Linked DNA regions of Elephas maximus indicus. The protein of the gene in region 2 binds, or shares a complex with, the protein of the main gene of each other region. Links are inferred from orthologs where the notes say so. Each region holds a gene or a part of one and is shown on either strand. Other genes may lie near its edges.

The links.
Region 1: the proteins of MICALL1 (region 2) and EHD1 are in contact, whole or in part, in an NMR structure (PDB 2KSP), measured with the Homo sapiens proteins. The link is inferred for Elephas maximus indicus from reciprocal best matches to the Homo sapiens genes MICALL1 and EHD1. Residues at the interface, in NP_203744.1 of Homo sapiens: Lys422, Tyr424, Asn425, Pro426, Phe427, Glu428, Glu429; in NP_001269373.1 of Homo sapiens: Gly464, Ala467, Lys468, Met471, Asn478, Leu481, Gly482, Trp485, Lys486, Lys492, Asp493, Gly494.

The regions. Positions count from the first base shown.
Region 1 is NC_064825.1:128,038,162-128,053,552, reverse strand, and holds the start of EHD1 (EH domain-containing protein 1), read left to right. Parts: upstream 1-8,368; 5' UTR 8,369-8,500; coding exon 8,501-8,904; intron 8,905-12,235; coding exon 12,236-12,333; intron 12,334-15,391. UniProt on the Homo sapiens protein: ATP- and membrane-binding protein that controls membrane reorganization/tubulation upon ATP hydrolysis. In vitro causes vesiculation of endocytic membranes. Acts in early endocytic membrane fusion and membrane trafficking of recycling endosomes.
Region 2 is NC_064822.1:181,792,394-181,807,307, reverse strand, and holds the start of MICALL1 (MICAL-like protein 1), read right to left. Parts: upstream 6,068-14,914; 5' UTR 5,742-6,067; coding exon 5,596-5,741; intron 459-5,595; coding exon 410-458; intron 1-409. UniProt on the Homo sapiens protein: Lipid-binding protein with higher affinity for phosphatidic acid, a lipid enriched in recycling endosome membranes. On endosome membranes, acts as a downstream effector of Rab proteins recruiting cytosolic proteins to regulate membrane tubulation.

The DNA.
Region 1 (15,391 bases), on a different chromosome or scaffold from region 2:
GTGTTAAAAAGATTGAAAAGAAGAGGTATGCCTGACCTCTGCCTCACAACAATTAGCCTTGGGCTGTTGATCTTGATTCTGCTCCCCCCTTGTGAGGTTAGACGAGGAGGTTTCACACCCCCGACACAATTTATTACAGGGTTACACCTACCTTATCAACTTATGCAGGGTAAGGGGGACCCGAGGCCATTGCCAGGTTACCCTTGATATCACTGCAGAAGGTGAAATTCCCATATGCCAAATAACTACCACTCCCCACGGAGGGAGTCCCCACCCATTAACCTGTCCACAGCAAAGGCCTGGGGGCCCAGGCAGGGCCCACCGGGGTCTCTGGGGAGTTTTGGGCAAACCCTGCGTGCTGAGCTCAGCTGCCGCTCCTGCCTCAAGATGGGGCCATAGGCCACAGGGGACTGAGACACATGTTTGGAAGCCACAGTGGCAGTGGGATGTCTCCTCTAGCCCAGCAGTTGAACTCCAGTTTGTACCCAAGGTGCTCAGAAGCCTCAGCTCCGCAAAGCATTCTGTGGGGCCTTGCCCACATGGTCCCCCAGCTGCAGGGCAGTGAGGGGCTGGAGAGGCCATGGAGCCCATGAGCAAGGATGCTGCTTCAGGCAGGTTCCTGCCAGCCTGGGCTGGGGAAGAGGCTCTTGAAATCCCCTTCCTCTGCTTGTCCACAACCCGGCCTTGTGGTTTCAGATGGTTAGCTCAGAACAGAGCACAGTGTGCAAGCTCCAGAGACCCAGCTTCTCATTCAGATCTGGGTGACTCCAAGCAACTTAGCATCCCTGGGCCTCAGGCTTTTTCTCACTGGGATTTGAAAGCAGCTAGTCCACCAGCTGCTCCATGGGAAAATGATGTGGCAGTCTGATTCCGTAAAGATTACAGTCTGGGAAACCCTATGGGGCAGTTCTACTCTGTCCTATAGGGTGGCTATGAGTCAGAATCAATGGCATGAGTTTTTGAGATCCTGAGCTCTGACACTCTGTCACCTCCAAGCTGGGCCTTGGTTGCCAGACACCTGTTGAAGTCTCTAAAAAACCAGTTGCCATCGAGTCAATTTTGATTCGTGGTAGGTCAGAGCAGAACTGCGCTCCAAAGTGTTTCTAATGGCCGATTTATCAGGAGGAGATTGCCAGGGCTCTCTTCTGAGGCGCCTCTGAATGGGCTCAAACTTCCAACTTTTTTGATCCGTAGCTGAGCTTTTTAACCCTTTGCACCACGCAGGGACTCTGCTGAGGTCTCTAGAGCCCAGCCACTCTCCGCAGAGCCCAAGCCCTCAGGGCCATGTCCAGTGCTTCTCTCAGGAGGGTGAGTGGGAACAGCCAAAGTGCAAGGCCTGTGGCCTTCCTGGCCAGCGGAGGTGGCCCACAGCCCCACACCCTCCGAAGACTTCGCCATGCAAAGGAGCAGACCTTGCAGTTCTTTACCTTATTTGGGCAAAACTGATCTGTTGACCAAATCCATTTGTCTTCAGATACAAAAAGCCATGCTTATACGCAAACGAGGAGCCCTGGTGGAGCAACGGTTAAGTGCTTGGCTGCTAACCGAAAGGTTGGCAATTCTAACCCACCAGCCACTCTTCAGGAGAAAAGTCCTGTTTATCTGCTCATGTAAAGATTACAGCCTAGGCAACCCTATGGGGCAGTTCTACTCTGTCCTACAGGGCCACTATGAGTCACGGTCAACATGAAGGCACACAACAACGGCACATGCAAACTTTCTCAGCGGCAAGAACAAGCCGGTCCACATCCCAGTGACAAGACTGTGTTTTGGCTTTTCTCAGCCCAACTTTTCTGCCAAATTTGGAGAAAAACTCCATCTTTTTTTTTTTTTAAGTTGTCTTTGGGGCCTTGTAGACACTTCTCTTAAAAACAAACAAAACTGGTTGCCATCGAGTTGACCCCAATCCATGGCGACCCCGTGTGTGTCAAAGCAGAACTGTACTCCTTAGGGTTTTCAATGGTTGACTTTTCAGAAGTAGATCTCCAGGCCTTTTTTGCAAGGCGCCTCTGGGTGGACTCGAACTTCCAACCTTTCAGTTAGCACCCAAAAGTGTTAACTGTTTGTACCACCCAGGGACTACGCACTTCTCTAGATCAGGCCATGATGAGACTGAGCAGACTGCTTTGAGGGAAGGGGGCAACAGGAGACCCTTCTCTGGCAGCTGACAGAGAGCAGCCCCCACCAGAGATGCAACCATGCCCCAGCCCCTGGCTCTGCAGGTGTGTTTGTGAATCTAAAGAAGACACCAGGAGAGGGAACGGGCATTACCTCTGAGATAAAAGGAGAATATTGGAACCCTTTCTCAGTCTCTTGCCCTGGACCCAGGAAAGTGAAACAGGGCAGAAACCAAAAACGAAATAAATGGTTTGTTCACATTTAACAAAACTCTCCCACTGAACAGAAGTGGCTCTACTCAAAACACAACAGTGAAAAAAAAGGAGGCCGTTTTCACAATGTGGGGCATTACAATACAGGGAAGCTGCCCAGACCCTAGGTGCCACGCCTGTGAGGCCCAGGAAACTCATTCCGAGAGACCTCCTCCTTCCAGTCCTTTGAGTTCCTTGGACAAAGTCAAGGGACCATACATGTAAGCCCAGCCTGGGTTTCATTTATAAATAACCCAGGAACATTTTGTTGTTTTCACTGTTATTGGGCTGAGTTTTCCCAGCACACAGGGCTCTGGGGAGATGTGACAACTGTGGTGGGTCGATGCCAGGGCTGCTGGGATCGTCGTGGCCTCATTCAGCCCATCGAACAACTGCCTCATTCAAGACCCTGGGCCCTGGCTCTTCTCTGGACCAGCCCAGAAACTGCATCTCCGGGGCGGGCCCCTCAGAGCACCATGCTGGAGGCAAACCCTTTGGGTTCTGAGGCTGGTCCAGGAAGTCTGGCCTGGGCCGCCCGAGGCTCCTGGTCACCAGCGGGCTGCAACCTGGGTGATGGTCCTGCTTTGGAGCCTCAATGTCCTCTTTTGAGGAGAATGCCAAAAAAAAAAAAAATCTGGTGGCTCTATATTTTACAAATCCTTGATGGAAAGAATGCTAAGGAAATTCCAAGTAAAAGCAGAAAGGCAGGGGCCTAAGATCACAGACAGGGACGGAATTACTCCTGCACTCCCCTGAGGGTGAGGGAGGAAGGGGGGAAGGCAATAGATTTAACATTACTATCCCATATGCAATTCTATTTCAACCTATGTGATCTGTATTTTTATTCCTGTTTTATAGACGAGAGCCAAAGCAGAGATAGGAATGGAATGAGGGAGAGAGCCTTGCATACTTCAGAGGGGGAACATTCCAGACAAGAGGACCAGCAAGGACAAAGGCCCAAGGGCCGGAAGATTCTTGTTTGTTTTTTTTTTTAATGTGTAAACCCATTGCCATCAAGTCAATTCCGACTCATAGTGACCAGTCCCTGGAGAAGGACATCACACTCGGTAGAAGGTCGGCAAAAAAGAAGACCCCCAACAAGATGGATTGACACAGTGGCTACAGCAAGGGGCTCAAACACAGCAGCGACCGTGAGGGTGGCACAGGACCAGGCAGCGTTCTGTTGTACACGGGTTGGCTATGAACCAAAACTGACTCAACGGCACCTAACAGCAACAACGGGTTAGCTTTTTTTTTTTTTTTTTTATTGCAGTGAACATATACACGCCAAAACATTCAATAGCACAACTGCCACATTTATAATTCAGTAACACTGATTACATTTTTCATGTTGTGCTGCCACTATCGTCATCCGCATCTGAAACACACCATCGCCACTAGTGTAAACTCAATGTCCCCCCTACAAATGGCCTGGCAGAGGCATCTGACCTCCTCTAACTTCGCGAGGGGGAGGGAGAAACAAGGTCAACAGCCCAAGGCTGATTCCTATGAGGTAGAGGTCAGGCTTAGCTTCCTTTGCCGGCTTTTCACCAGTTCTGACACTATCTGTCCCTCCCACTGCACACTCTACTTTTCTGCTCGGTTTGATAACTCATTGCAATAGCCACACAGAACTCCCAGATCATACTCACAGTTATGGGGTTTACTAGGGAAGCAACATGTTACAATTCAGGCTCAGGAACGCTCAGGATACAGTTCTTCCATCGGGACAGCCTCTTCACAGCCGTGCCCGCAGGCAGGCCTCTCCCCGGGCCCCTGGCCCCTCAGCTGCTCACCTGGCCTCTGCCCTGCTCCATCAAGTGTTACAAACCTCTTTTAGCTTTGCCAGTAAGTGCCCGGAGGCACCCCGCTCCAGCAGCAAACCTCAGCCCGAAGGTGCTCAGCTAGGTTTCTAGTCCTGTGGGCTGGGAAGCCCACCACCCCCTCTCCTGTAGGGGTCTCCAGGTTCCACTGCTGCCATCTCTCTCTCTCTCTGTCTCTTTAAGCCTAGCAGGGTGGCAAAACTGACCAATCCCCTTGTTATGGTTCCATGCACCTCATTTGCATAGTCCCACCTAGTCATTTGGTGGCAGTTACAAAGACTATGGCTAGAAAGGCCATATCAAGTAATTCACTGCACCACACCCCCCAAACATAAACTCCCTCTTTCCCCCTCCCTCCCACCCATGGTAACCACTAATAATCTTTGGTTTCTATATATTTGCTTCATACATGTGGTATCATACAGTTATTTGTCCTTTTGCGGCTGAGTTATTTAGCTCAACAAAATGTTTTCAAGTTATATCCACATTTGGGCATGCATGTGTTGTTAATGGATTGAACTGTGGCCCACCAAAATATGTTGTAAATGTTAACCCCTGTGCCTGCAGATGTAATCCCATTTGGGACTAGGGTTCTATCTGTTATGCTAATGAGGCCCTACCTGCAGTGTAGGGTGTCTTAAGCCAATTACTTTCAAGATATAAAAAGGCAGATTAGACATAGAAGCAAAGAAGCACAGATTGGGGAAGACAGACGCCAGGTTACATGAAGAGCACCAAGAAACAGAGGGACAGATGCTAAAAATAGATAAGGACCTTCCTCCAGAGCCAAAAGACAGAGAACTTTCCCCTAGAGCCAGTGCCCTGCATTCAAACTTCTAGCCTCCTAAATTTCGAGAAAATAAATTCCTGTTCCTTCAAGCAACCCACTTGTGGTATTTCTCTTACTGCAGCACTTGGGAATTAAGATATATGTATATATACCACATTGTTTATCCCAGAATATTCTCAATGTGTCAGAGGGCCTTGTGGTGAGAACAGACGAGGCAGGCCTGAGTCTAGAGGAAGTCCACTGACTGTAAATTAGTTCAACTTCCAGGAAGGAAGTTTGTTGCCATCTACCAAGATTATAAATGCTCAACTTCAGGAATTTGTTCTAAGACATGTTTGCATATTTGAGAAATGATATACGTGTAAGATGATTTACAGCAGAGTTGTCTGTGAGAGCAAAAGATGGGAAGCAACATAAACGTCCTTCAATTTCACCCTCTGCAGAGCAGAGGAGAAATGCCTGCTTTTGCAAAGCGAGAAGCTACATCAGGAGGGTTATTCTGGAAGGGTAAAGAGATGGGGCGAGAGGCTCATCAGAGGCTGTGATAACAGGCCAAGGGTGACATACCAAGGACCAGAAGAGACTACGGAGGTAAGTGGGGCCAGGTGGGGTTCTGGGCCTGCAGTGGAGGTGGGGCCTGGAAGAGGACATGTCCAGCAGGCTGCTGGGGGCTCAAGAAGAGTCAGCTGCACTGCACAGACATTTGCTTGGAAGCACAGAATGAACCAGCTTCTAAAAGGGCAGATTCAGAGAGAGAACAAAGGAATGGGTGGCCCATCCCAGGAGCCCCGAGGCACCAGCTCTGATTATCTGCAGAAGACCATGCCTAGCCGTGGCAGTAAGATGGCGATGAAGAGGTCAAACACCCAATGAGGCCAGGAGCAAGGGGCAACCAAACCTCCCTTTCCTATTCCATGGGCTGGGAAAAAGGGAGTATGTTAGGGGTATGGAGTTGTCTGGAAAAATCCAGGAGTCTGTTCTGTCAAAGGCTCAGTCCCCTCCTGGCGCCAACCCAGCCTTCTGCAACCTGGAGAGGTAGAAGGCCTTGTCGAACATGCTTGGCCCCACTCCCTAATGTCATGTCCCCATCCCTCCAGGCCCAGACTGAGAGTCTCTGGGCCCTTCTCCCCGTATAAAGCCAACCTTCCTTCCTTCTGCCCAGCCAACCCTGCTCCTCCAAGACCTTCCTTCCTCCTTGGCTAGTCCATCTCCCTGTCTTCAGGCTCCTCCTCTGCAAAGGAACATAGAATATCTTCACCTCTTCAGCCATGACACCAGTCCTTCACCCTGCAGCCCTCTCTGGCTACTCCCCACCCCATCATCACCTCTGAGTGAGATTTCTTTTCTCTGTTCCTGCTTCTCACCTTCTGTTCCCTACTTCATCCTGTTCCCACCATCCCCCCAAAGTGTTCTCACTTACTTGGTTCATGATTTTCATCATGCCAACTCCAGGGGACATTTCCAGTTCTTATTTTACTGGCCTGCTCTGTCATCTGGTACAAGAGATACTTCTCGGAAGCATCTCCTCCCAGTCTTTCCTGCGTGCCCCGCTCCTTTTCCACTCTGCCCCTCATATGCTCATTCTTTCTCATGGTATCAATTATGCATTGGGAGAAGGCTGCAAGAAGCAAGAATTTGCCCTTGAACAGGCAAGAGAAAGGAAGAAGTAGGCTGAGAGACAAGGTGGGATGCATGGGCATGGAGAGGGCAGAGAGAATCTTATTGGAAAGGGGGTTAGGCAGAAAAACAGACCCACAACGGCACATCCCTCAGAAGGTACTGAGGCCTTTCTTTCAGGAATACCTGCTCCACAAGTGTAACAAGGGGTGGGTAACTAACTCTCCCATCTTGCCCTCTCTGATTCTGACTTGACTCATCTCCCCTAAGATATGCTGCTTCTTCTCAGGTTCAAGTTCTCCCAGACTCCAGCCTACCTCTTAGCCTCTTGCCCAGCCTACTTTCTTCCTGGATATAGGCACCCAGCCCTACAGGTTTCCACATCTCCTAAGAAGTCAGAGAGATGGTCTGAAGGACTTCAAGTCCCCAGGTTCATTTTAGATCTGTCCAGGAGACTCTGCTCACCCCCACCCCACAACACTTTGGTGTCCTGTTTACGTAACAATCACAGTCCCCAAAGTTCTGACCTCACCTACTGAAGATTCTCACCAGCCCGGACAGCCAAGAGAGACTATGTGTGACCAGAGGTGATGACGGGGGGACAAGCCTAATGGAACGGCCAGAAACTGGTAAGGGGGGGGGGTCACAGCCACAGTCCGACCAGACTAAAAGATGGTAACGGTGGTGACCCTGAGAAGAAAGAGGAAGTATTTGGGTTTTTTAATTCCCCTAAATTCCCACAAGATTTCATTGTTGCCCCACATTTCCCCTCTTTCCCACATAGGGAATTTCCGATTTCACTTCCTCAAAACTCAAGTGGCCAGAGGGCCTCGACTTCCTCTTTACCTCCTCCGGCCCACCCTCCACAGTTGCAGCCTCTTCAGACAGGCCTCTTCTCCCTACTCAGGTGCAAGTCATTCATATCCTCCATTCCTTGTGTCCATCTCCCAATTCCAAGCCTGCTGGCCTCAGGGGAGGTCAGGCCTCTGGCTGCTGGTCTGTCTTTCTCCTCGGCCTTCTCCCTCCCCGTGTTTCTTTTCCTAGACACCACTCTGCCTCGGATTCTCCCCTCCCTCACCTTCCCCTACTACTCCTTTCTTGGTTCTCCGTCTCCCAAGGCAGACGAAAGGTGAGGGGATGAGAGGGAGTTACGAGTCATGGAAGCAGGGGCAAGACGAGGAAGCAACAAAGGGCAGTGCAGGAAAGGAGGAGCTGTGGCCCCAGGGTCCTCTGACACTTCGAGGATTCTTTTGGTGGAAGAAGGAGGATCAAACTGGGGTCAAACTGGGGATGGGTTGGGTATTCAGAGAGCTGGGATGTCTGAGTATTTCTCGGAAACTTGAGGCCGGGTGGAGGGGTCTACGAGCGCTGGAGGGCGGGCAGCCCCTGGGGACTGCCTCGCGCCCGACTCCCACATTCCGCCTACTCAACCGCAGCACTTCCGCGAGCCGCCCTACTAGGGGCGGGGCGAAACAGGTGCGGTTGCCACGGCACCAGTTATGGCGGCCAGGGCCAAGGAGCGGGGCAAACTGGGCTCGCGAGATTTGGAACCGGCCAATGGGAGGCAGGGAAGAGGAGGACGTGGCGCGGGTTCGTGGGCGGGGACGGGAACGGCTCCTCCCCTATCCTCCCAAGTCTCCGCTGTGCCGCGCAGCGGGAGCGCGCGCTCCAGAACGCGGGGCCTGGCCTTATAAAGGGCGCACGGGGCGGCGCGCGCTCCACTCTGCAGAGGGCGACTCCGCGGGCCGTGGCGTGCGCCTGCGCAGTGTGGGCCGCCCCCGCCCCCGGCCCCGCCGCCGCCCCTCCGCCGGCAGGTCCGGCCCCGCCTCGCCTCGGCCCCGGCCCTCGTCCCGCTCTCAGCCACCGATCTGCCTGCAGCGGCCAGCCCCGTGTCCAGAAACATGTTCAGCTGGGTCAGCAAGGATGCCCGCCGCAAGAAGGAGCCGGAGCTCTTCCAGACGGTGGCCGAGGGGCTGCGGCAGCTCTACGCGCAGAAGCTGCTGCCCCTGGAGGAGCATTACCGCTTCCATGAGTTCCACTCGCCGGCGCTGGAGGACGCCGACTTCGACAACAAGCCCATGGTGCTCCTCGTGGGCCAGTACAGTACGGGCAAGACCACCTTCATCCGGCACTTGATCGAGCAGGACTTCCCGGGGATGCGCATCGGGCCCGAGCCCACCACCGACTCCTTCATCGCCGTCATGCACGGCCCCACCGAGGGCGTGGTGCCCGGCAACGCGCTCGTTGTTGACCCGCGGCGCCCTTTCCGCAAGCTCAACGCCTTCGGCAACGCCTTCCTCAACAGGTATTCCCCCCACCCCGCGATCCCGGGGGGCGGGGGGGACCAGGGCCCAGATCGCGCACTCGGGCCCCGACCCGACCCGCCCTCGGCCTCCGCCCCCATCGTCCTTTGTCTCCGAGGCCCCGGAGGGACCCCTCAACAACCTCTCCCTGGGACAGGAGCCCCTGTCGCGTCCCACAGAAAGCCCACTCCCGAGGTCTGGGAGTAGGCGTCGCCAGTTTCCCCGGCTTCTACCGCCCCCAGAATTGTCCAGGTCATCAGTTTAACTCCCAAACCCTCCCACAGACCCCAGCCCCACTTCCCTGGCAACCAGGGCCCGCGCTGGGAAGGTGACAGATTCCTGTCCTCCTGTTCTAGGTCTCCACCTCCTGCCCCCAGTCCTTCCCCTGGGCGGCATGCACCCAGTTCATTCAAATCTCTTCCCCCCTCCCCCTTGACTTACTTCAAGGGTCTGTTTCTTAAGCGTTATGGAGGAACACGATGTAACTTTCAGCCATTCTCTGGGCTGGTGTGGTGTGTGTTTCTGCTTTGCCTCCCCTGGGGCCGTGGTTTGTGGAGGGCCAGGGAAGCTCTGCTGTGGCCCGCGCACTCGGGCAGCCCCCAGCAGACAGATGGACACTTCTCCCAGAGGCTGCTCTGGAACAATCTGCAGTGCGTGAGGCGGTGGGACCCAGGAATGGGATCCAGTCCCTAAGTCCTAATGTAGACTCTCTAGGAGGCCCCCTAAACTATTGGGCCTCAGTTTCTCCAGTTCAGTGGGTAGAACCTGCTTCCTCACGATGAGGGTAGTCCTCCAAGATTCTCATCCTCACAGTGGGTGCTCACCTTTCTGTAAAGGAACTGGACAGTGCTGTCAGTGGTCATGAACCCTCCCCCTCCCCCCCCCCCCAGGACATACCAAAGGACACAGCTTCTGCCATCTCTCCCACGTCCCATTCAGGGAGTGACTTCACGTGCCTTTCAAAGGCTGAGTCCGAGGAAGAGCCTAGAAAAGAATCCTTGAATCTTGCTGTCCAGGTCTCCGCCCTGTATGATCACATTCCTTTCCTTCCAGAGTTGTTCAGCCCCACAGGGCGGGCTAGCCTGTCTCTGAGTGGAGCCAGTGGCCAGGCCTCCGCTGGGCACAGAGCTGACCTTTCCCAGAGAAGACCAATGGGCTTCTCCCTGGTTTTCTGCCGCTTTCAGGTGTGTTTTATAGCTGTCCTGTTTTATGGCGCTCAGGATTTGAGTGCTGGAGCCAGAGTTGAGAGGCGCTTCTGACTGAAGCCCCAGAGAGGCAGGTCCACTTAGCCTGGGGCCTTCCTCCAATTTCCCTGAGTTTTAGAATCATGATGCTTCGTGAGAAACAGTTGGCTCAGACAGTCAGCTGGTGGAAGCCTTACTTAGCGGGTGGAAAGTTTGGCTGCTATGTCGGAAATTCCACACTTGAGGTCTCTACTTTCATCTAGGACTTTGGGACGCTAGAAGGAAGGTTAACTACACCTGCCTCTGCTGTCTTTAGGGCTTCACCGTTGAGTGCAAGAGCACACCTTTTTTGAAGGCAGAGGCAGGTCACGTGGCCCTTTTCTGAATCTGGGGACCTAGAGTTTTATCTAGCCCTGTTGGTTGTCCAATCTGAGGCTCAGAGGGCCCAGGTGACTTGTTGAGATCACACCAACCACCTGGCCTTTGAATAGCCAACCTCCGCTTATGGCTGCTTCTATGCAAAAAAGAGCTGGCAGGAGCGCTTGGTCCACGACAGGCACTTAGATGACCACAGGACCCGACCACCACACTTTTTGTTTCCCTCCTGCCGTCACCTTATCTCCAGAGGGTCCCTGACCACTAATGGCCTGGGCTGGGGGGTTTGCGCTCACTTGTGCTGTGTCAGGATGTGTGGTGCACAGTGCAGCTGGGGAAGGAGGGCACAACAAAGGGGGCTTTTCTCTGGCTGATACAGCCTCTCCCAGACTCTTAAAGAGACCCATTGAATCATGAACTTGACTTTCCAGACTTTAGACCTGAGTGGCTGCCCTAATGGGGCTGACCTAGGCAGGGTGCGATCAGGGTGTCCTAAGAGAGTCTTGTGAAAACTCCTTGTTGCGTAACTGGTGCTGCTCACTTGTAGTAAGAGAAGAGATCCCTGTGTCCTTGTTGGTGAAGACGGGACCCATCCACGCGGCCCACTCCCGGTCGTGTTTTCTGCCGCACTCACTGGCCTTTGCAGAGCCACTGCATTGTCCTGGTGTGAACTTGCTCGCCAGGCTCCTTCCAAAGCTTTTGGATGTGTGTGGCTTCTCAGAGCTAGTTCGCCTGCCCATCCTTCTATTTTACCTTCTCTCCTGGTGCATAGTTGTTTATGGCATGCAACAGTCGGCTCGCTGCTGGTGCTAGCGAGAAGGTCCAAGGTTTGCTCACCCGTGTGCGGGTCAGCTGGTTTTGCTCTGTTGGCACTTGCAACGGCACTTCTCACCCTGGCCAGCTGCTCCCAGCCTGTGGGCCACTGGTCACTTGGGGGATGGGGCCAGCAGCCACACTAAACAGTTCAGATTCCTCCCCACTGTTGGTCAGGCCATGTCTGCGTCCTGCAGACAATGAGTCAGTATTTTCTTTGCTCACAATACCTTTTTCAGAGAAGTTTTTAAAGGACCCTCTTTTGTGTCCAGTAAAGAATCCCAGCTATCAGTTTGGACAGCCTGGCCGCTCTGAGCTTAGTGTGGAACTCAGGCACACACAACTAAGCCCTCACCCATGAGTCGCAGGCCTCCCCGTGGCTTTGTTCTTGTTTGGCCTGCTTTGATTTTCAGAGAATGGTGTGTCTGTGCTTCCCTACCCCATTATCAACCAGCCGTTTGCCGTCCCTTCACCCCCAGCCACTGGGTGAAAGGAGAGGGCTGGACCTGGCCCCAGAAGCATTAGGAAGGGACCATTTCTCTTTGGTGTGTAGAAATTTAGCCAAGTGGTTGAAAATTTCAGTATGGAATTCTGAGGTCCTAGTGTCACCCCCCCTCCCCCCCATTTCCCTTCTGAGTTGAATGATGACCGAGGCTAGTGGAATTTTCACTAACAAGTCAGCAACTTGAGAGTTGAACTCTCGAACTCTGGGGGAAAAGCTAATGCAGGGAAGTGCTGATGTGGGTCAGTTTCAGGCTGCTGGTTGGGTTCCCAGTTCAGAAGGTCCATACACGTGCTGGCCACCCTGGAAATGAAGACGACGGCAATGACCTTTAAGTTGCTCGCTTTCGGAAGGGAAGCCAGAGGTGGCGATGAAGGCGTGCAGAAAGCACTGTGGTCACATTGTGAGCAGCAAGAACGTGGCCTTGACCCCTCTCTTCCCGGCTCTTGCTGCCTGCAGGTTCATGTGCGCCCAGCTGCCTAACCCTGTCCTGGAGAGCATAAGCATCATCGACACTCCCGGAATCCTCTCCGGAGAGAAGCAGCGCATCAGCAGAGGTAACCCATCCTGACCACCGCCAGCACCTGGTCTAGTCAGACAGCTTCTGTTTGACGTCTGGGACATGGACCAGGTGCTGCCCTGGAGGTTTCTTCCCACCCTGGGCTCTTGTTTTCAGTGTACCCAAGTGAAAAACCATTTGACAGGAGCCTTTTGTCTGCACAGTGCTTGGGACACAGAGCCAGGAGCTACTTTGTTCCTTGACTCCCTCTGCCAAGCTCACAAGAACAGTCACGGCGAGGCCACAGCCAGCTTTGTGTGGCCCCTGGGACACCTGGAAAGGGGAGCGAATTGGGAGGTGTGGGCTCAAAGGGAGTTGCTCCATAGCCGTGTTCCAGGTCCAGCAGGTAGCACTGCTGTGCGTGAGCCCACAGCTCCAAAGCTGTGTACGTGCCTAGTGAGCAGGACCTCCAGAGCCAAAAGGAGAAGCTAGCAGAGGTCTGTTAGACGTTGAGGAGCTAGTGGAAATTTGCTTAAATGGTGGTCATCAGCAGCCTCTGGGTGCTGTGCGTGGCATAGGGTTTTCATGCTGAGGATTGGTGCACCGGAGTCTGTGGGTGGCAGAATTGTTGAAGTGCTCGACTATTAGCCGAAACATTTGTGGTTCAGACCCACCCAGAGGTGCTTCAGAAGACAGGCCTGGTGATCTCCTTCCAAAAGGTCTCAGCCTTAAAAAACCCTGCAGGGGCAGTTCTACTTTGCCAACACAGGGTCGCCATGAGTTGGAGTTGTCCCGACAGCAACCAACAGCACCAGCAGTGGTGCACAGGCCCAGTCCAGTGATGGAAACACCTGTCCAGATTTTGCCAGGCTTTTCTAACTATCTGGTTCAGGATGAGCCTGAACTCCCCTTTGGTAGAAAGAAGGGCAGCGTGGGGCCTGAGTGCTCTCCTGGGGAGCGTGAAGACAGCAGGGTGGTACCTGGCCTCCTCAGAAGTGGAGGCTGCTTCGCAGCTGCAGACATGAAAGTGAAATAAGATGAAACTCGGAGGGGTTAAGGGCAAGTGACCAGATTTGTTTATAATTAACTTGCAAATCTTTTCTGACTATTTCCCTCTTGGCCACCGGGCAGTGGTGAGCTTTGCAGTTGAAGGTGGCAGCCTGAGATTGGGAGTGGGGGATGTCCTTGTCTCTCTCTGGTGGCTCTGTGGGGGTGCGGGCCTGTTCCGGGTGCCGAGAAACCAGGGCTTTTTGTTCTCCAGGCTGTGAGCACACTGAAAGTGCTCTATCTGCAGATCTAAATTGGGTTTAAAAGTCACCAGTTAAGATTCTAGGTTCTCCCCACCCTGGTGATAAATGTCACTCCTGGGAGTTTAAGGGAGTAGATTTGGAACACCTCATAAAAAAAAAGCAATCGCTATGTTTGTTCTTTTTTACTGTTCTTTATTACTGTTGCAACGTGGTTTTAAGAACGTACCTGATAATCAAAAAAAGCCCTGTCATTTGGTAAAACAAGGCTAGAAAATTGGAATAAGTTACTTGTAAAAGGCAAAAGAAAGAACCACAACAGCTGAGGCTCCATGGAGTTAATCTTGGGTATGACCTGGAGGAGGACGTGGACTTGGGTTCTCCTGACATGGCCATCAGATAGAGGTCATCAGCTAGAGGCCGAGCCACCTCGGGGCTTTGGACAATGCTCTAGCCCCAGCAGGCATTAGGCCTTCAGTGGTGAGTACACATCTTCAGATAAGGGACAGTAGCCCACAGGTGGAGGCCTGTCTTCCCAGAATGCTGCAGGCTGCTCAGCCTGGCCCTCAGTGCAGGGAGCGAAGGTATTTGAGAATACGCGCAGGCCTAGGGTTCTACGGCCCATGTTGCCTCATAAAAAGGAACTCAGAAACAGCTGTTTTCCACCCTGTGCTGTGAAGCCCCACTGAGCTATCTTTGGCACTTCAGCCTCGAGTCCAGAGCTTAGCAGGCTGAGAAGTTTTGAATACAAGTCTTGATGTATGCGCTACCCTGCCCTGCTGGGATCCACCCTTCTACTGTCCTGTCCCTGCTGCGTCCTTTCCTGGTTAGGACTTCGGGAGGAGCGGCAGTGATGTCTCAGTGCGCCCCATAGTCAGTGAATGAGCGAATCCAGACAGCACTGGATTGTGGCCGGGCTGTGGAAGGGGACGTGCCTTTGCAGATGACAACAGTGGCGGAGTCAGCCACCAGGAGCGTGCAGTGCATGGCTAGTGCTCTGCCCTTCAGGGTCTGCCCAGGCCCCTGAGGTGTAGGGTGTGGCTCCTCTGGGCCCCTAAGCAGCCAGGCAGTCCCCCACCCCATCATTTGCAGGAGGAGAAGGCAGAGTAAGGTGTTTGCCTCACTGAGTGGCAGAGGAGTTTCCTGCTTGAAATGAGAGCAAAGTGCTTGTTTACTAGATTCTTTTCTTCCCCTCCTTATCTCCCAAAGGTCTTGGTTTAAGTATATTTCACTAAAAGTTACCAAATTGGGATTCGCCGTGGAATATGTTTGGGGTCAGTATTTTATGGGTGGATGACCACTGCGTGGTACCTCTTGGCTGTGCTGGGTGTGGACTCCTGGGGGTGGTGACCACTAGGTGGACGGGAGAATGGGTGCAATTCTCTTCCTTGAATACTCTGTCCATCGGTCATGCAAAGACCCCTCGTGGACCTGGCCACTCACCCCCTTCCCAGGAAGTCAGAGTTGGCACAGTCCCAGGCCCCCCACCTGCCAACGAGGTGGAAAGCAGGTGTTTCCCTCTAAGAGATGGGGCCAACCCAGAGCATAGGTCTTGGGCAAGTGCCCTGCAGCAACGTGGGCCCCGACCTGGCTCCCTGTGCATCGATCGAACAGGCTTTTGGAGGTGCGTGGATGTGAGAACTGCTAATTACACCCACTTCCATCCCCCCGCCACCCCACCCCACCCCGCCCCACCCCTGTCTGCCTGGCCCCTCCTGATTTTTTTCCTTTTTCCCCGTGGTTCTGAATGTGTGCAGGAAATTCTGTCTGCAAAGATAAGGCAGGGCCACACAGCCCCAGTGCGGTCAGGATGCAGCCTGGGCTCTTCACAAGGCCCTGAGAAGAGCGACAGGGAAAAGGGGCCTGGGG
Region 2 (14,914 bases):
AACAACCACAGCAGGAAGAGGAGGAGGCAGTGTGAGTGGGTGCCCCCTGCTGAAGCCCAGCTCCCACCAGAAGGATGAGGGGGACCAGCGGCAGGGGCAACTATGGGCTCCCTCAGCTCTCACCCACCCTGAGCCCAACAAGATGGGCTGGGGAAGGAGGAGCCTGGAGCTCAAGGTGTGGGGGAGGGGCAGCCGGGGCTTTCTCCCAGCCCCCAGCCCGGTCACCTACAGGCAAGGGCAGCTCCCAGGGGTGCTGGGTCCAGCAGCCCCTGCCTCAGCAACTACCCTGCAGGACCCACACCTTGCACACACATGCGTGCGTGCGCACACACCCACCCACACACCCACACCCCCCCCCCCCCCCCACACACACACCCGCTTTTGGGCTTCCATCTGTCAGGGGACTTACCAAGCGGTTATTCTCAAAAACATTGTCCTTGGAAAGTGAATCGAAATCTCTGCAAGAGGCAAAAGAGAGAAGGATAAGTCAGAAGGAGGACCTGTGAGCAGGGGCTGTGGCAGGGCTGTGGGGTCAGGACAGAGCACAATAGAGGTGGTATCAACCTGGCCAGCAGCAGCCTCAGCAGGGGGAGGGATCTGTGGGCGGCAGAGGAAGAAACTGAGGCAACAAGCACTTGCTCAAAACTGGGGCCACTTGCAGGAACAGGATGAGCTCATGGCCCCTGGAGGCATTCAAGCAGAGGGGGCGGAGCTCAAGCCTAAACTTTCAAGTTTAGACTCTAGGATTCTAGCTGCCTTTCCATGGAAGCCAGCGCCTGGGCTCTAGGTCAGTGGCAAACACAAAACTAAGCCCACGACTAACCCAGTGCCGTGCAGTCGATTACAACTCATAGCGACCCTATACGACAGAGTAGAACTGCCCCAAAAAGCTTCCAAGGAGCGCCTGGCAGATTCGAACTGCCAACCCTTTGGTTAGCAGCAGTGGCACTTAACCACTACGCCACCAGGGTTTCCACGCCCACGACTAGTGCTTGTAATAAGAGGGGCATCTGATTGTTGACCTCACATCGGGCACTGCTGAGCTCCTCTCCTGCATTCATTTTACTGTCACAGCAACTCTATTTACCCCATGTTACAGATGAGGACACTGAGGCCCAGGGAGGGGAAACCAGCCAGGCTGGGAACTGAAATTCTGGCCCTCCACTGCAGGTCACAGTCCCGGAGGAGCCGCGACGATTCAAAAAATCCCCAACAGAGCCCCGACCAGAGATGAATGTATTCCTTTTAATGGGGCCAGGAATAGAAGAACAAGTTTGAACCAGACTGGAACTCGTACATATTCCAGACTGCTGGCACTGAACGGCTGGCTGACCCCGCCGGTGACATCTTCCCTTGGGGGAGCAGGAAGGGGTTCTGGGATTCTAAGCCAGGACAGGTGAGAGGAGGCAGGGCCTGGAAAGGGGGGTTCCCTGGGGATGGGACAGCTGGCAGGCCTGCTGGCTTTATTTATCCCCCTCCTCCCCCTCCCCACGCTAGGTTACTGGAGTGGCTGACACCAGCAGAGGCAGCCCAGCCTCCCTCCCAGCAGCCTCCAGGGTGCACGGCACAGCTTTGCCTTCTACGGCTAAAATCGTAGCCTCGACTGCCTAGGATGGGTGGGTCCAAAGCAGTAGCGGACAGTGTCTCCAAGGCCCAGGGCCCAGGCCCTGCTCTTCCTGGCTGGTATGACCTTGGGGAGGTCAGCGGTCCTTCCAGCCCTCTGTAAACTGGGGAAGGCACCAGTACCCCCTCCCAGACTGGTGGAGAGGACAGAGTTGAGGCCTCACAGATATGAGGACGTGGGGCAAGCACCACCCCCTCCTCCCAGCCTCTACCCCTAACATTTTCTCAGGCCGAGTCTCAGTACAATGAACCTTGGGCAAAGGCAGGCAAGGGCAGCCTGGGAACCTCTGAAGGAGTCTGGCACCGCAAGTCTGGGTGGACTGGGGAGACAGGAGGAGATGGAACTCTGTGTGAGTGTCAGCCCCCTTTTTGCCATACCTGGCCGAGCCCCTTTCTTCTCCCCCAGCTGCCTCACTGACTCCCCACTGAGCAGCCTAGGCCTGGACTACCCCAAGGCTGGCCTTGGCCCTCAGCAGTGAAAAGAGCCCGGACCCTTGACTCTAGCCACCCCAATTCCCCATCACCCCCGGCTGGATTTCTGTTTTACCTTCAACCCCGCCTCTCACCTCTGGTCCCCCACAGCTGTCCTGGGGAAGGAAGGATCATGGAAGGAGGTGCTGTTTAGAATGCACTCTGGGCCAGGTTGACTAGGTTCAAAGCCCTGCTTTGCCACTGAGAGTGTGACCCACAGCAAGTTAGTTAACCTCTCCAAGCCTCAGGCTCCGGATCAGGGGAGCTATGTGGGGGGAAGAGAAGAGGAAACACCAGCCCAGCCCCCAACAAAGGCTGGTTCTGAGCTTAAATGAGACAAAATCAACATATCTCTGCCCCTTTACTCCAGTCTCCCCAGCAGTGCTCCTAGACGGCCAGGGTCATATTTTGTTTGCCCTGTGCCCCTGGCACTCCACACAGTTCCTGGTACTTAGACAAAAACCAAAAACCCACTGCTGGAGAGTCGATTCCAACTCACAGCAACCCTAGAGGACAGAGCAGAACTGCCCCATAGGGTTTCCAAGGCTGTAATCTTTACAGAAGCAGACTGCCACATCTTTCTCCTGTGGGGCAGCTGGTAGGTTTGAACCACCAACCTTTTGGTTAGCAGCCAAGCGCTTTAACCACTGCACCACCAGGGCTCCTTAGTAGGCACTCCCTAAGTGTTTGCTGAATGAATAAATGTTGAAAACCATGTGAAAACTGCATAAGTCTCTGGGAAACTACAATTCGTTTTCCTCCAACTTCTTCCCCACCCCGACCTCAGTCCCTAAACAACATCTAGCCTTTGGTAGCTCACATTATTTTTTGAGAATTTTCAAAAGGAGGGAAGTTCTTTTTGGCTCTGGGGGAAATGAAAGACACAAAACAAAACCAACAAACTCCCTTTAAAAGAGCTGGAAGAGCACAGGGAGTCCTTGGGTGGCACAAATGGTTAACATGTTTGGCTGCTAACTGAAAGGTTGGAGGTTCGAGTCTATTCAGAGGAGCCTCAGAATAAAGGCCTGGTGATGTGTTTCCGAAAAATCAGCCATTGGAAACCCTATGGAGCACGGTTCTACTCTGACACACATGGGGTCCTCAGGAGTCGTAATCAACTCCTTGGCAACAGGTACTGGTAAAGGTCATACACATAGATACCAGGATATGCGGGGAGGAACATGGACCAGCCCCTCACCACCAAAGCAGGATATTCCCCAGCAGAGGCCTAGGCTACCACTGGGTTCAACTGTGCAGGGCCCACAGCTCCAGGAGCTTGAGAGGGGGTCTTGCTTGCCCCACTTTCATGGAGATCCTCTCCTACCCATCTGTAAGGCCCGCCCTATGCCTTATGGGAGACCTGGGCCTCAGTGGCTCTCCTGCACAATGAGCTGGCAGCCCAGGCGCTGCCCTGCCTTGCAATGAATGCCTGGACACGATTCTGGCTTTCCTCTCAGGAGGGGAGCCACACTTTCCTCCATGCCTCCTGTGGCCACACCGCTCCCTTGCTTAAAACCCACAGGGCTCCCTTGCAGTGAGTGGACATAGCCACCTCCTTGGTCAACAAAAAATGTCATGAGGAATCTGGCCAGCAGCACCTCCTGACCCTCCCTGCCTGGCGCAACCCACTCCAGCAGCACTGCCTGAGGCTCCACATACCTCACACCTCTGCACCTCTGCTCAGGTGGTCCCTCTGCCCAGAATGCCCCTCACCTAACCACTGCCGTATCATTGAAGACTCTGTTCTCCCTTGGGAAGCCTTCCCAGCCTGGCCCTCTGAGACAGCACTTATCACATGGAATTATCATCACTGTTGATGCACCTGCTTCCTCACACAGACTGTGGGAGACTGTGTGGGGTTTCTGTCTGCTTGTTACCTTGGTGGGTATCTCCATTACCAGGCTCAGTGTCCAGCACAGAGTAGTAACTCTACAATAAATAGTTGTTGAATAAACAAAGAAACAAAACACTCTCATCACTCACCCCCTCTACTGCCTAATACTACTACTTAACAATAACTAATGCTAACTGAACACTTATTATTATCTCATTGAGTCCTCACAACAGCTCTTTGAGGTAGGTCTTATTGTGATCAACCCTACTCTACAGATGAGGAAACTGATGCCTGGAGGGACACAGTCATTTACCCAAGGTCACACACCTGGGATATGGAGAGGCTGAACACCAACCAGGCAGCCTGCACTATGATGCCAACAGGCTCAGGTACACCAAATGGCTCAGCTTGACACCCAAGTCCCTTCATACACTGGCCCTGTCCCCTGCCTCCTGCCTCACTGCCTGCTCCCCAGCCAAACCAAAGCCTCCTTGAGCCCTCCACTCCATTCCAACCCAAGGATCCAATCCCAGTACTCACACCCCTAAAACCTCCCTCAGGGCCCGACCCACACCACCCACAGCTATTGTACCAACCAAAAACAAAAACCAGCACCATCAAATCCCTGAGGCAATCCTTCCCGTCTGTCCCTCCTTTATCAAAGCCCTTCCCAGGCTGCTGTCTAGCAGGCAAAGACACAGACTCAGAGCCCTGGGAAGGGCATTCCAGACAGGGGCGCCGTCAGTAAGGGAGGCGAGGACCATGACTCCTGCCTCAATTTGCAGATGAGAGGCCTGAAGCCCAAGGAATGGTGGGCACCAGACAAGCATTCACTCAATTTTATAAAGGAATGAATGAATGAAAGGAAGAGGTTCCAGGGCCCAAGAGAGGAGCTGAGATAGATGCCACAAGTCAGCTGCTCTGGGCTCTGAATAAATTTTCTCAAGAGAACCTCAATGGGCAGTTCGAGGAGGAAAGAACAATTTCACAGTCTGAAGCAGCTGGTTGCAGTTTGTTCCCAAGGCCACTAAGCCCCATTTTTCTTCCCTGACACATCACCTTCCTGCCTCACTGAGAAGGGTTGGAGGCACACACCTGGGGAGGCGGGTCTGCGTCCTAACTTGAGGGGAGGGGGTGTACATTCATGCATCCAACAATTGTTAACTAGGGTCTCTGCCAAGTACCGTGCTCGTGTCCTGTAGACAACGATCTCCCTGGGAATCAGACGTGAGGGTTCACTGTAATCACAGAGCAAGGGGGTGCCCACAGAGTGAGCAGGCCTCAATGCCCCGGGGAGGGCCAGCAGCCCTAGGGGGAGCCTCGTGTCCCTGTTTGAGAGGAGAAGCTCAAGGAGTTGGGGGGCTGCGTTCCTGGGGCGGAAAGTCTCCTGTGGGCGGGGTCAGCGCCCCTAGGCTGAGGGCACCAGCAAGGGCTCCGGTGCAGAGTTCCAGCGGGCGGGGTCAGAGGCTTAGTGGGGCGGCGAGGGGGCCCTGGGTTGGGGTCTCAGTGACCCGCGGGGCGTTCCGCGTCGGCCGGTAGGGTCGGCGTCTCCGTCTCCGTCTCCGTCTCCGGGGGGTGGTGCCTGTCACCGCCCGGCGCCGCGTCACTGAGAGGGGCGGGGGTCCCCAGCCCGGGCCCGCGCCGCCCGCCCGCCCTCGAGCACTCACAGCAGGTCAGGCCGGTGGCGGTGCAGGATGGCGCAGAAGGCCAGGCCGTCCCGGAAGGAGGTGCTCAGGTCGCGGATGTCCACGCCGCGGTAGCCCTCGCACTGGCGGCGGCACCAGGCCAGCAGCGCGCCCCGCGGCCCCGCCATGGCTGCGCGGGGCTCGGCCCGGCTCCGGGCGCCCCGGGCTCAGGCCTCGCGCGCGGGCTCCGGGCTCCGGGCTCGGGCTGCGGCTCCGCGCGGCGCTCAGGGCCGATTTCCGGCTGCGGCTCGGCGCGGCCCTGCCCGGCACGCTGGGAGCTCCGGGCGCCGACCTGCGGCCGTGGGAGAGGCGGGAGGAGGCGGGGCCGCGCTCGGGGCCCGGGCTCGCTCCCTGTGCGCCCGCCCGGACCTGCCCGAGCAGCCGCGGGCGGCCGCTTACTCACCGCCGCCCGCTCCCCTCATTGTGGGCCGGCCGTCGGCGCAGCGCGGGCAGCCCTCCAGCCGGCCGCCACGCCCGCGCGAGGCCCGCCCGCCGCCGCCGCCGGGGAGCGGAGGGGGCGGTGACCTGGGCCCCACCCAGCGGTGGCTCCGCCCCTAGGCGCGGACCCCCACAAAGGGAATGACACCCACAGCCCCTCCCTCGAGGATCCCAGTCACCCCTTCCCCTCGATCATTCCCTTTCCCTTAAAGAACTCTGGGACTGCCCCTCCAGTCCCCTCACCCACCGCAAACTAGCCTCTCCGCGCATAACTTCCTCCACCCACACCACCTGCACCACCACCCTGCCCACCTGGAACTCTCCTCCCCTCGGAAAGAGGCACCTCCCTCTTTCTACCGTCCTGCCTCTTTCCTCTTCTTTGGCCTCAAACCAAACCCATTGCTGTCCAGCCGATTCTGACTCAAATCGACCCTAGAGGACAGAGCGTAACTGCCCCATAGAGTTTCCAAGGCTGTAATCTTTAGGAGAGCCACATCTTCCTCCTGCGGAGCGGCTGGTGGGTGGTGGGTTTGAACCGCTGACCTTTTGGTTCGCTGCTGAACGTGTAACCGCTGTGCCACCCGGGCTCCCTGTTTGGCCTAAAAGGACCCGCGAATTCCCCATACTAACTTCTCTAATCGTCCCACACACACACACACACACACACACACACACACACACACACACACACCCCGCTGAGGCCTGAAGCTTTGGGGAGGCATTTTCCCTCACTTCAGGTACTTCCCCTGCAGAACCCCCTAGGGACGCCAGTTGGCCTCATTCTTTCTCACCACTCCACAACACCCTGGTCGTTTCCTCTTCCACAGTCTCCTCCCCTCGTAGCCTGTCAGGGAGATTCTATGCCATCCCCTCCCTCCTAGCGTCAGTCCCTTGTCCACTCAGTGATGTATTCAGCATCTGCCATCACAGACCCTGACAACCACCAAGTCGTACAGAAATCTCCTCACACCGTGTGTAGCCTCAGGGAATTGCCCCCATCCCACTGAGGCCTTGGTCCCCTTAGGCCCTGACTAGAGTGGTGGTGGGTGGGGCTCCCCCAGGACCAATGGGAAGCAGACCCCAGTCTGGTGGAGGAGGGCACTGGGGGGCCTTAAACTGGCCTTGGAACCTACCCAGCCTCATTCTCTACAACCTTTCCCCTCACCCACACACACACCCCTTCCCTACCTCTCCACCAGAAGCCTATCCTGACTTTCCAGGCCGATGAATCAGCCTTCCACTCACTTCCATGGTGGTGACATCACTCTGACCAGCACAATAGTTGGGATGGGGCTGTTACCCATTCCCCAAGGGGAGGAACAGAGTCTTAGTCACCTTTATCAACCCTCAACACTTGAGAGAGTGGAAAGAATGCGGATTTTGGCGTCAGACTGACCCAGGCTTGAGTCCTGGCATCCCCACTCTCAGCCCTGTGATCCTGTGCCTCCCTGACCTCAGTTTCCACATCTTAAAAATGGGGCTAACTCCTGCCTGATAAGGTGGCTGAAAGGATTAAGGTCATCACTTATAGGTTCTAACTCTTGATATAGTACGTACCTGGTAAACGTGTGGGAAATTGGATTGAAAACGTTTGTACCCATCTTGTCATCTGGACCATTGTGGGTGAATTATGAAGGAGAGATGCTGGCTTGGGGATCCCAATCCCTCAAAGGTCCTCTGAGTCCCAGTCTACCGTACAATTATGACACAAGGCCTGGGGACCACAGTGTGTTAACCTGGGCCAGCCTCATGCCCCTGGGCATGTCTCAGGTTGAAAGGCCCTCATCTTGGCCCAGAATATGGACTCCCAGGTCATCTAGGAAGGAGCTTTCTGGCCAGCCCTCTTGGCCTCTTTCCAGCCCTGAGCTACTACCCCCTGCCCTATCCCTTGGCGAAAAGCAGCTCCAAGAAACCAGGGTTCTAGGTGCCCTCAGTAAATCAGGAACTTGGGCTCAGGATCCTGAGACCAACATTGACCTTGGCCTTTGGAAACCATCCAGGACTTTTTCATTAAAACTCAGGTGGGCTTATAACCCTATCCCACCAGCCTATGGGGCTCCCTTCAGGTCCCTGAAGATAGCTCCAGATCTGCCCTTGATTGCCATCCCATTGCCATAATAATAGCTTACCTGGCATGTCCCTCTAGGCCTCCATTAGCCCATCTGTGGGCTTTGTCCAGTCATTACCTGAGTCAGCTCTCAGCACGCTGTGAGGTAAGGACCTGCGTATCCACAGCTGCATGACCGCAGGTAGATGACTCACCCCTCTGAACTCCCATTTCCTACCCTGGAAAGTGGAGATAGTCATCTGCCCCGCCTGTGTCCCGGGCTTGTGGACTAGTCAAGTGAGCTAATGGATTAAGAATGCCCTGCAGACTGTAAATCCAGGTAGAAGGTGGGTCTTTGTTGACAGGTGAGGACAGAAGCCACAGACAAATAGGCGGTCTCGGCCACTTGCCCAAAATTACGCCATAATTTCAGGATTAGGACTGAGGGATTTGGGCCCCTGATTCAGTGGTGTTTTGTTTTCTTTTTAAACTATCAATTAAGAAGTGAATACACTCTCCTTACCAAAATTCAAAAATAAAATAAAGCTAAATGTTCTGCTTGACTCCCCCTCAATTCCAATCTTTTTCTAAGAGGTAGCGGCAGTTGATTTGAAATTTATTCTTCCAGACCTTGTTCATGCATTTACATCCGAGCATGGATTCAACAAATGTTTATTGAGCATCTATTGTGGGCCAGGTGCTGGGGCTCCAGGGGACATAAGGGTAAACAGGACAAGGCCCCTGCCGTCATGCAGCTAACATTCTAGTGGAAAAGAAGCAATGAGCAAGTAATCAAATCAACAAAGATAACTCCAGATGGTGACAGTGACTAGGAAGAAAAGCAAGATGCTGTGATAGAGGATGATGGGGACAATCAGGGCAACCAGGGAAGGCCACATTTGAGCTGAAGGATAAGAAGGAGCCAGCTGTCAAAGATCTTGAGGCCGTACTTCCAGGGAGAGGAGACAGCCAAGACAAAGGCCCTAGGGGGGAAAGAGTCTGCTATTTTCAAGTACAACGAGGTGAACAGACTGGAGCTAAGTGAGGTCCAAGAGGTGGACAAAGAGGAATCCATGTAGGGACTTGTAGAGCTGGGAGATGGCTTTGCTCTCTGCTCAGCAGGAAGTCATTGTAGAGTCTTACGGGAGTGACACAATCTAATATTTTATTAAAGGTTGTTTTGGGCAAATGGACCTTAGGGGGACAAGAGTGGACACAGGGACACCAGTCTGGAGGCCACTGTAGTCATCAAGGCAAGAGATGATGGAGGCCTGGACCAGGGCAGGGCAGTGGGGATGGCAGTGGATGGACTGGGAACGTGTTGTGGGTGAGGAACCACAGGTCTCGCTGATTGATTGAATGTAGGCATGAAGCAGGAGTCAAAGATGGCTACAAGGCTTTGGGCTTCAACAACTGGGTGGATGCTGGGGGCCATTAGGTGCGATGGAGGAGAGGGACGAGGCACAGGGTTGCAGGATGGGGAAATGATTCCTCTGTATTGACCATCTGCACTGTGTCAGGTTCAGATATGAAAGAGGCAGCCCCTGCCCTCAAGTTATCCATGGTCCATTGCATGGACTTTTCAACTCTTAGCCTCCTTTGACATGAGCGACGAGTGAGGTTCCACAGGTGCTCGTGGTGCCTCAGTGCCACTAATAAACTAGGCCTCCGTCGTGGGCAATGCCCTGCTCCCTAACTGCAACTCCATACCTTCTCCCCACCCATCCTCCAAAAAGCAAGTTGAATGTAAGAGAGATGTCATTACAGGTAGAGCTCGAATCCTTTCAAATTTATTGCAAGATATATCATTCACACTTTTCTGTGCTTTAGCAAGATAATTGGAGCACATCCTGGTGAGGTACAGAGGCTCCAAGGTAACTCTGCATCCAGCATAAGAAACAAGAAAGTTCAGGGAACCACAAGAGTCCAGAGGAGGCCCCTGACCAGTCTGGGGTCAGACTACTGTGCCTTCGCTTACATTCTTCTTGCCAACATGCTGTGCGGGGAGGTGTAAAAGCAGGCTAAAAAAAAAGAACCCATTGGAGGTGAAAGAAGCTAACATTTAATGAGCACTGGTGGGATAAATGAGTGAGTAAATGAACAAATGAATGATCAGGACCTAGAGTTTACATTCCAGTCTCTGAAAAAGAACATCATATTTGGAAGATGGTCAGCAAAAATGAGGGAAGCCCTCCATGAGACTGATTGACACAGTAACCACAACTCAAATATACCAATGGTCGTGTAGATGGCGCAGGACCCACCAACGCTTCACTTTCGTATACATAAGGTCGCCACGAGTAGGAGCCACCTGGATAGCAACCAACAACAACAACATAGTTTACATTTATTTCCCCACACAGATCTCAAGGTAAGTTTCAGAAAGATAAAAAGGGTGAGGTCCAAGGAAGGGGATCTAGAGAGGGCCTAGGAGAAAAGAATATCATCATGCCCTGGCAATGTTCCACCCAGGAACCTCTGGCTTTTGTCTCTGCCCAGCTCTGTACCTGTTTAGAGATTTGTGGGCTACTTCTTACAGAAGCCAGAAGTCTTCAAGGCGTGGAATATGCATGTGTGTGTGTGTGTTCCTGGTTGGGGGAGGAGATGTTTGGATGGCTCCATTTCACCCACCACCCACTCTCTTTGTCTTGCCGGAAGATCCTGGACAAGGATGGCACCTTCCAAGGTTCCATGTCAACATCCATAAAAGTTGAAAATTTGCTCACCCTCTGATGCAGCAGGCCTGTGTCTAGGATTCTATCCTCTGAAATACTGTCCCAGGGGCCCCAAGATATACAAAGATATGTATTGTCCGCTAATGGCAAAGCGCTGGGAAGAATCTACATATTCATCAGTAGGAGTCTGGAGAAATCAGTTACTGCCCAGCCAGACAACAGAAAGCCACACCACTGTTAAAACGAATGTTGTAGAAATACATCCTCAAAAGACGTGAAAATAGCATACTGAGTAATAACAGGTATAATAGAATTCCATTTTTGTAAAACAAAAATTTAATATATATGTTGTATGTGTTTATGTACCTAAACACTTACGTAAATGTATATGGCATTTTAAATGTCAGGAAGGAAGGATATGCACCCCAGTGCATGAGGCTGGGTGTGGCAGACCTGCTTTTTACAAGCCATTATTGCTTGAATTTCCAACAACTTGCAAGTATAACTTTTTCTTAACAACAGCTTTATTGAAATATCTTTCACATACCATATCATTCACTCTTTTAAAGCATGCAGTTCAGCATTTTGATCAAAGGTCCATAGAAGAATCCTGATCAAAAGGGGGAAATTTTAGAACAGAATTTCAAATTCTAACACACCATAGATTTTCTGGAGCTATGGAGAGCGGATGAACCCCTGTGCAGTGCAGGGAATTACTTATTATGGCCCTTGTAGTCTTTGTAACTCCCACCAAATGACTAGGGGGGACTACGCAAATGAGGGCTTGTGGCCCACCAAGGGGGTTGGATAGCTTGCTAATGATATAAATAAGGTGCATGGCACCCTTGTGGGAGCTGGACCATGTAAATAAAGTGTATGGAACCCTAACGAGGGGCTTGGTCAGTTTTGCCATCCCACTAGGCTTAAAAGAGCCAATTCCAGAGCAGACGGGGACCTGTAGGACCTCACTACAACCAAGAAGAAAAGACAGGAGCAGGATATGTCCTTTAGGCCTGGGATCCCTGTACTGAAACCCTCACCGACTCAGGAGACAGAGACCCAAAGATGGCGAGAAGCAGCTGCAGAGAAACGGTGGCAGCAGAGGCAGGTGACCTGCAGGAGACCTGCGGGAGACAGTGTGTCTTCAGGCAGGAGGCTTGCTGTAGGAGTAGGGTCCCTCCAGGCCTTGGTGGAGCTGGGTTTGCCAATCCACGGAGCTAGAGCTGAGGGCCTTCAGGCAGAGGCTTACTGGCAGAGTGGGGTGCCTCTAGACACTCATCAGCAGAGCTAAAAGAACTTTGAAATACCCCAGCAGAGGAGAGGCCGAGGGGCCAGACAGAAGTGTGCCTGTGGGCACAGCTGAGAAGAGGCTGTCCTGATAGAATAAATGTATCTTTGGCATTCTTGAACCTGAATTGCAATCTATTACTTCTTTAATAAACCTCATAACTGTGAGTATTGCCTGTGAGTCCTGTGTGGCCATTGCAACGAATTATCGAACCCAGCAGAGGAGTAGAATGCCGTGGGAGGGAAGTTGGTAAAAAGGCTTGCAGGGTGGAAGCGTATCTGACCTCCACATCAAAGGAATCAGCCTTGGCTACTGATCTTGATTCTCCTTCCACCTTGTGAAGTTAGAGGAGAACAGATGCCCACTGCCACACCATTTTTACACCCTGAAACTATTGCCCTGAGAAAATGTTTAAACCTCAAACCGAAAATCTCCTTTGAAGTCTTCTTAAAACCGAACAATGGTTTAGCTTAACAGGTAAAAAAAAGGTCTGCCTTGAACTTATTATGCTCTTTTAAGAATTATCCATATGGAGTCAAATTGACAACAACATCTCAAAAGATTTGATAGGAACCTTAGGGGGCTGTAAGTTTATGTCAATGAGGGAGGAAGAACTCAGAAAAGGAGGGTGAGAATGGTTGCATAACTCAAAGAATGTAATTAGTGTCACTAAATTGTACATGTAGAAACTGTTGAGTTGGTCTTTGTTTTGCTGTGTATATGGAGCCCTGGTGGCATAGTGGTTAAATGCTCGGCTGCTAACCAAAAGGTTAGCAGTTCGAACCCACCAGTTGCTCTGCGGGAACAAGATGTGGCAGTCTGCTTCCGTAAAGATCACAGCCTTGGAAATCCTATGGGGCACTTCTACCCTGTCCTATAGGGTCACTAGGAGTCAAAATCAAAACTCAAAAGTGTTGGGTTTTGGGCTTTTTTTTTTTTTTTTGCTGTGCGTATTCTCAACAACAACAAAATAAAATTTAAAGAAAAAAAGCGTGCATTTCTGTGGTTTTCAGTATAATCATAGAGTGATACAGTCATCACTATCATCTAATTTTAGAATCTTTTCATCACCCCAAAAAGAAACCCCATACCCATCAGCAGTAACCCTCCATTTTCCCCTTCCGCCAGCCCTGCCTCTGAACTGTGGTGTTGGTGAAGAATACTGAATATACCAAGGACTGCCAAAAGAACGAATAAATCTGTCTTGGAAGAAGTACAGCCAGAATGCTCCTCAGAAGCCAGGATGGTGAGACTTGGTCTCATGTACTTTGGACAGGTTATCAGGAGGGACTAGTCCCTGGAGAAGGACATCATGCTTGGTAAAGGGTCAGCAAAAGAGAAGAAGACCCTCACCTAGAGGGACTGACAACAGTGGCTGCAACAATGGGCTCAAGCATGATGATTGTGAGGATGGTGCAGAGCCGGGCAGTGTTTCATTCTGTTGTGCATAGGGTCGCTGTGAGTCAGAAATGGCACCTAACAATGGCCTAACAGCCAGCCCCTGGCAACCATTAAACTACTTTCTGTCTCTGTAGATTTGGCTGTTCTGGACATCTCATATAAATGGAATCCTAACACGTGGCCTTTTGTATCTGGCTTCTTTCACTTAGAATAATTAGCAAATATAACTCACATAATTAAAAAAAAAAAACAAAACCGTTGCCGTGGAATCCATTCCAACTCGTGGCAACCACGTGTGTTTCAGAGTAGAACTGTGCTCCATAGGGTTTTTAATGGCTGTGATCTTTCAGAAGTAGATTGCCAGGCCTTTCTTCCCAGGCACCTCTAGGTAGACTCGAACTCCAGCCTCTCAGTTAGTAGCCCAGCATTTAACCATTTGCACCACCCGGGGACTTGTTACACAATTAAACAAATGAAGTAAAATGAGGATGTGGGGCCAAGTGAACTCAGCTATGCTCCCTCCTTAGTTCAGACAGTCTTGGACCACAGTACCTGTGGCCTTCTAATTCTAGGATCATGTTTTCTAAGCATCTGACTGTCGGATTCTAGGATTCTCCACGTTCCATGGCCCTGTTAGAAGAAGGCCTGATGGTGATTTCTGTGGGTCTGACTACTGTGCTTTTCCCTCAGGCTACGCCCCAGGAATCAGAGGCCTGCCTGAGCCTTGGCTCTGATCTGAGCTGCTCTCCAGGGGACAGCCTGGCAGAACTGTGGACAATAGAAGCATTGTGGGCCTCAGAATTGGGGCCTGGGGAGGCTGGTGGGAGGCTCTGCGGTGGGAGTGGCAGCTGCTTCACCTCTCTCCTCTGTCCTCACTGGGCCAGGGACACACCCTAAACATGCCAGGACAGGGCCCTGAGCTCCGCTCCGGCTGGCCTCCTGGATGAGGCCTGGGCCCTCCAGAACCCCAGCAATGCCTGAGGATAGGCAGCTGTCCCAAGTCTCGTCCTCCACAGACTATCCCTACCCCCACATACACAACATTCTGGAAAATCGGCCTGGGACTAGGCCAGGGGGCTTGCGTCCTCTCTCCGAGACTGAGCAACCCTCCAGTTAACCCCTCCAGAACACAGAGGACCAAGAGCTGTCTGCAGTTGGGAGGGTGTTTTCCAAGCTGAGGCGTTCCTGGGTGGCGAAAACAGTTACACGCTTGACTACTCACTGAAAGGTTGGCAGTTCCAACACACCCAGAGGTGCCTTGGAAGAAAGTCCTCGTGATCTGCATTTGAAAAGTCACATCCTTGAAAACCCTATGGAATCCAATTCTGCTTTGCATACATACATGGGGGTCACCATGAGTCTGAATCAACTTGATGGCAACTGTTGTATTTTTTCTGAGCTAGGAAATGCTTACACTTTGCTATCTGCATCTGACCCAGGAAGGAAGGCAGG